Linked DNA regions of Saccharomyces cerevisiae S288C. Each later gene encodes a partner of the first gene's protein in a complex. Each region holds a gene or a part of one and is shown on either strand. Other genes may lie near its edges. The genes, in order: TRS33 and TCA17. A codon is read from its position in the direction of its gene.

The links.
Region 2: the proteins of TRS33 (region 1) and TCA17 are in contact, whole or in part, in a cryo-EM structure (PDB 7E8T), measured with the Saccharomyces cerevisiae proteins. Residues at the interface, in NP_014758.3 of Saccharomyces cerevisiae: Lys133 (codon at 911), Glu136 (codon at 902), Leu137 (codon at 899), Ile139 (codon at 893), Phe140 (codon at 890), Asn142 (codon at 884), Asn143 (codon at 881), Pro144 (codon at 878), Asn145 (codon at 875), Leu146 (codon at 872), Lys147 (codon at 869), Phe148 (codon at 866), Ser228 (codon at 626), Leu229 (codon at 623); in NP_010866.1 of Saccharomyces cerevisiae: Glu13 (codon at 1,199), Ser56 (codon at 1,070), Leu57 (codon at 1,067), Asp58 (codon at 1,064), Ser59 (codon at 1,061), Lys80 (codon at 998), Gln81 (codon at 995), Thr82 (codon at 992), Gly83 (codon at 989), Glu110 (codon at 908), Arg113 (codon at 899), Lys114 (codon at 896), Ile117 (codon at 887), Lys120 (codon at 878), Cys121 (codon at 875), Asn122 (codon at 872), Pro123 (codon at 869).

What each region holds. Positions count from the first base shown.
Region 1 is NC_001147.6:538,159-541,263, forward strand, and holds TRS33 (Trs33p), read right to left. Parts: upstream 1,308-3,105; coding exon 501-1,307; downstream 1-500. Other genes in the region: mitochondrial HMG-box protein CIM1, read left to right, coding at 1-296; DNA-directed RNA polymerase III core subunit RPO31, read right to left, coding at 1,605-3,105.
Region 2 is NC_001137.3:63,933-67,308, forward strand, and holds TCA17 (Tca17p), read right to left. Parts: upstream 1,236-3,376; coding exon 777-1,235; downstream 1-776. Other genes in the region: seripauperin PAU2, read left to right, coding at 1-158; FRD1 (fumarate reductase), read right to left, coding at 1,453-2,865. UniProt on the Saccharomyces cerevisiae protein: Required, together with the TRAPP II subunit TRS33, for TRAPP II complex assembly or stability, and for proper Golgi localization of TRAPP and the Rab GTPase YPT31.

The DNA.
Region 1 (3,105 bases):
AAAATTACCTTTATGATTATATGAAAAGGTTTCAACAAATGTGCAAAGAATGCCGGTATGCTTGGAACGAAGAGGTTGACTATGACCAGAAACTAGAAATTAGAAAAAAATTACAGGTATGGAGGGCAAAATTTGAGGAAATGATGGATAACGAGATACAAATATTACAAAAAAACATGGATATCATGTCAAAGTTTGGTCTCAGAAGTGAGTCCTATCTTACAGCAGCGAATCACGATACAAATACACAACCAAATAATATTCTTCCCATGACGTACCTACTAAAAAAGAAATGACAATAGACTTTTAGGGCTTTAAGAAGAGTCCACGAAAGCACTTCACTATCATAAAGACTATATGTACCTTGATCAAAGAAATTATTGTCAAGATTTTATAGTAAGGGTATTATTTTGAAAACGGAGTCACCTGTTCTTTTATATACACACTTATATCTATCTATATGTCGATGTACATTCTTAGAACAAAAATCTGTCGGACCTTTACTGCGGCATTGTGACTTGAACATGGAAGCTAACTCCCTTGGGAAAAGCTGTTTTAGGCCTATCTGTTGGCCTGTCGATAAAAGACGCCAAGCAAATGACCTCTTCAGATGAATAACCTAAGGAAGACAACACGCCTCTAATAATTCCCACAGGTATCTCCAAAAACGGTTCTATCATTTTTAACTCCTCGTTTTTTGCATCTTCCTCCAAAGAAAATGATTGAATAGGTCGATAGTCATAATCAAGAAGGTAAAAGGTTCCTCTGTGGTTTGTTTTTAAATTATCGATCTGTTTACCAAATATTTGTTTCCAGACATCCCTACAAATGAACTTCATTATTAATAGAAGGTCCATTTCCTTGAATTTTAAATTTGGGTTGTTAGAAAATATCAATAACTCTGACAGCTTCAATCCGATTTGAAACCCAATATTCCTCAGTCTTGCTAAAACCTTTTCTTTTTCCTCTTCATCCGCCTTATACAGCTCATGTATCAAGTTATGAGAACGTATGATATCTACTGTATGATGTTCCTCTATCTTCAGTCTCTTTATCATATTGTTGATGTTACCATTTTCGGAAGTTACATTGCTATCAGAACTGATAACATCGCCTGATATTTGCCTCTCAATGCCCATAGCTAGAGGAACCATCTCGTTCAACAGCATCTGATACACAGATTGACTTACTTTTGGTAATGAATTCTCAAAAATTTGATATTGCTGTTGTGCTCTTTGTTGTTCCGTTAGTGGACCTTGTGGAGAAGATTGGGGATGTCCTACATTATTACTATGTGTAGAGGACATAATTGTTTATCTTCCAACTTTATAACCGGTGTATGTTTTCTTTTATGGCATGAGGTCTTCACTCTCAGCTTGTGAGTGCATACCAGATTCCAAAATATTTAGCATTTTTGGTCTCAAAACGTTGACGCGAGTTTTTGAAAACGATACGCTGGTTCTACTAATGTGAAGAAAGCAAATTTCTTATAAGTAAATTTTGTTTCATGGTTTTTATCATGTAGTTTTATATGTATAAATACGTTAAATGACTGTGGTAGAAAAATAATACAAATGCTATAAAAAAGTTTAAAAACGACTACTTTAGTTCGCTTTTAAAGCTGCCTCATTTGAGAGACTTTCAAATAGACATCGCTTAGGAACCAGATCCTTTTCAGATATATTAGTACCTTTAACAACTTTAAAGGAACCGGTACCGATCGACATCGTTTGACCCAAAATAATACATTCAGAAACACCTTCAACAGCGTCCTTTTTCATATAAAAGGCCGCATCGAATAAATGGTCAGTTGTCTTTTCGAAGGAGGCTAGCTGCAAAACAGAGTCCCTCATTTTACTCAAACCAAATCTTGTAATACCCAACACTTCACCCTTATATGTCATCACATCACCTAATAGTTGGATATGACGTGGATCGACACTCATACCGTGATTACTCATGGTATAGTTAATTTCTCTAATAATGCTATATCTTGCAGCTTCGATACCCAAAACGGAAAAGACTTCTAAAACATGGTTAGTTGTAGTTCTAGAACCAATGACACCATCTGTACACATCACATCTCGCAGGCCGTAACCTTCAACCAATAATTCCCTCTTGCCGTCATCGCGAATATTAATAACCGCACGAGAAATATCAGGTAAACCTTTAACAACAACATCAGGAAGCGCACGACGTAACTGTTGCATTCGGTAAAAAACATCATTCTCACTTGGTTCTTTCGCAGATGTAGATATCGATTTTGCTTTGTACCCTTCTGGGAATACGTTGATTGCAATTCGATCTTTACCAATAATATTGACATCAGAGGCTTGTATTTTCAATTTAGAAGCCCTGGTTATAGCAACCGCGATATCTTCTATGGTCAACTCCAATTGTAGTTTATCAATCGTACCTAAATCAATACGCACTTGAATGAAAGACAAGTTGTCTTTGTAAACATCTTGGACATAGAAAGCTACGTCAGATAGCAGTGTCTTTTCCACTCTACCTTTAACAACCCTAGCAGCCCTTTCATCGTTATCATTTACTAATACAGCATTTATAATAGGTGTAGAAATGACCTTGGAAGCATTGATAATTTCTTTGATACGAGGAACACCTAATGTAACATTCATGGAAGCCACACCTGCAAAATGAAAGGTCTTCAATGTCATTTGTGTACCTGGTTCACCAATGGATTGAGCACCAATAGCACCAATAGCAGTACCTGGCTCCAGTCTTGCCTTACGATATTTGAAAAGAGCAATTTCTAAAAACTTTCTCACCGATTTTTCACTGATTCTATAAAGTTGGCTTACAGATGTTTTAACATTATCAGGAACGGTTTCATCTGGATCAATACCTTGTAATTCTTTTGCAGGAGGTTCTAATAGGCCTAACATTCCCCTGGACTTTCTTAAATTAGCCAAAGCAGTTGCTTTGCCATTAATATATTCTCTTAAGGAATGGTAAAAATCTCTCTCGGCATCATACTGATCCACATATTCCGCTTTATTCAAGTCTTCCCTTTTCACTAAACATCCACTATTATCATATCTGACCAACCTTTCCTCCAATGGTCCTAATATTTCGTTTGCAGTT
Region 2 (3,376 bases), on another chromosome or scaffold:
CCGTTTTCAACTACGGTGACTTCACCACCATGTTGACTGGTATTGCCCCAGACCAAGTGACCAGAATGATCACCGGTGTTCCATGGTACTCCAGCAGATTAAAGCCAGCCATTTCCAGTGCTCTATCCAAGGACGGTATCTACACTATCGCAAACTAGAGACAAACGCCAATTTAATGAAGGAAATGCTATGAAACTTAGATAATGAAATAAAAAAAAACCCTTTTTTTTTTTTTGGTAGTATAAATATCTTTATACGTACATACGTGAACAATCACATCATATCTGTCAATTCTCGTTGTAACCATAACCTAGCACTTATTTCAGACTTTCCAAAGGTCGCAGTATCTTTATGACGAGCCATCCCATGTAAAAATTGCCGTGCCGGATATGAAGTGACAAAGATCAGTCTATATCTCGGAAAGCCAACAAATATCTTCATTATGAAGTAACGTATAGTGATTGCTTCCACATCTGTTCAATTCGGACAATTTTCGTTAGCAGTAGAGTCAAAGCGATCGCCTTAATTGTCTCCGTATCTTATTTATTCATGAACAGCATGACAATTGACAGTCACTTGAATGAAGTAGAAAGTTTGATTGTCACGGTCATCTGAGATATACTACCGGCACCTGATCCCCGCTAATTAGGCAAGGCGAAACTGTCACCAAGTTGGACATATTAGACATTAATAACTTCTCTGAATCGCTCTCACTCCAAAGCAGTGACATTAAATTTTGCTTTCATTCGTGAAAGAATCGACTAATAAATTATCATTTATAATTCAACTTCAGTTGAAATAAACAACTCATCAAATTTTCTTTCCAAGCTTTTTATAATGGACTTTTCGTCACCGCTAACAAGTAAAGGATTACATTTGACACGTATATAGATTTTTCTTACGGTTTCGAAAATCTGATTGATTGCTTCAAATTCATCATCAGCTCCACTTAGGCTTTTTTGTTCAAATCCAATGACAATCTTCAGGCCCGTCTGCTTAATCAACATAGCAAATACAGAGACACCTTCCAATTGAAAAATTGACTTCAGAAGAGGTTTGGAATCTAAAGAATGCCATTCAACCAAAGCACTTTCAAAATAATCTAACGATATGTTAGAAAGCACGTTATATTTGAGTACATCATTCATCTCATTCTCCGCCTCATTAGGGACGTAAATCAATATAGGTTTATCAGATTCATCTATCAATGATACGAAGCAAGGCCTCAAGCTCATAGTTTGGTGATATAAACGTACAATTTGATTTTTGGAGAGAATATTTACTCAATTTTCAACTCAATAACTTTTATGTAAAATGTTTCTTGGCCGTCGATGAGCTCTTCCGGCAGAACTTCGAAAGTGAAAAAAAAAAAAAAAAAAAAATAATAATAATATTAATACTACTTATATACTATTAAAAAATCGTTTAGAAATGATTCATTTATAAAATTCGTTACTTGCGGTCATTGGCAATAGATTCAGCTGCGGTTCTCCCAAAGACAACGCATTCTAACAAACTTGAACCACCCAACCTATTGGCGCCATGAACACCGCCAGAAACTTCACCGGCCGCGTACAGGCCTTTTAGTAGCCTTTCGTCGTTCTTGCCAATGACTTGAGCCTTGACATTGATTCTAGCACCACCCATGGTGAAATGGACAACCGGTGTTACTTCACCAATAAAAACCACAGTTTCTGGAGTAACGTCAGAGCCAAATTCGTTGAGAATAACGGTACGTCCCAACGGATCAGCCTTGGTAGTGAAGGAAGAGTATGTTTGCAATTCCTCGCATAATTGGGCGACAGTGATTGGTAAATTATATTCAGAAACAACTTGAGATAATGTCAATTTCTGTACAAGTTTCTTGAACATGTAAAAATCTAAATTATTCTTCAAATCTGTGTACATTTTTTCGCCCATAACCAATAGTGCTCTGTTATCCTCTTGAGGACAAACCTTTTGAATAGCTGCAGTGACTACATCTCTTGTGGTCAATTCGTTGACAAATCTTCTACCGGTAATAGGGTTTAATAGGATACCACCAAGACCTCTTAAGGATTCGGCAGCCAAGAATTTCCAGCTTGAGCTACGGTCATTTGGATCAATGAACCCAGTTGGATGAACTTGAATTTGGTCCATGTCAATCAGATCAGCGCCTAACTTCTGCAGAAGCCTTTGACCATCACCAGTTGTTTGTTGCCCGTTTGTTGTTGGCAAGTTCACCAGTTCGGGTGCGTATTCTTTAAGCATTTCCTTAGAAAAGCCAAACCCTCCAGAACAAAAAACGACATCGTTAGCACTCACCATGTGCTTTTCGCCATTCTTGTCCTCGTACACTACAGCAGAAATGGAGCCATCCTTTTCATGGATGTCTACGACTTTACTGTCTAAGTTAATCTTAACTAACTCTGGTTTAGTCTCAGCTAATTTCTTCAAATTGTTAGATAAGGCAGAAACAATTTCGAAACCTGGAGGCAACTTCCCAGACGATCTGTGAGTTCTTGCCACAGAGTGGCCACCCAATTGAGCCAATAGGTCCAATTTCAAATCAAATTCGTTTTTCAACCATTCAATAGCCAGGGGAGAATCATTGGCCAACTTAGCCATTAATTCTTGGACACCTTTACCTTTAGCAGACTTGATGGTGTCATCTTCAAATAAGCGTGGGGAGTCCTCGATGTGGAAGTGACGTTGAGTCTCGGTGCAAGCACCGTTAATACCACTGGAGGCCTTGATAGAGTTCCCACCGATCGAGGAAGCCTTTTCGAGGATGGTTACAGGGATGTTATACTTGTTAACCAATTCATTGGCAGCAGCCAGCCCGGCCAAACCGGTTCCAATAACAACAACGGGAGAGAGAGACATTTACAATTACGGATGAGGGGTTGTTGAAGTGAAGATAAGAAAAAAAAATGGGGTGCTATGTCAGCGTATTGTTCTCAGCTTTTATACGTGCAATAGATTAAGCTGTTCAGGAACGCGACGCGTTGCCCCCGTTACCGTTTGAAAAGAAAAAAATTTTCTTTTTCATACCTGTCTCTATTGTTTCAGTCATTCACTGCATGATGACAAATGAAAGAAGAAAGACAATAGTAGTAAAAGCAAAAAAGGAATTAAAGTGAACGTTTTTTAGACTCTTACGCATACATATAAATATATATATATATTTGTATAAAAGGTGTACGTCGAAATCCTGTGAAGAAACCCTGCGAGAATATACATGGGTACATTCAATCTTAATACGTAGTATCGTAGAATACAAAGAAATGTGCTTCTCCACGTGGATACGTACCGTTGTAAACTTTAATCAAGTACCAAAAAAACCAAACATATTCAGTCGATCTCTCAATGGGGAACAAAGAAAAGAGGTTCTTAC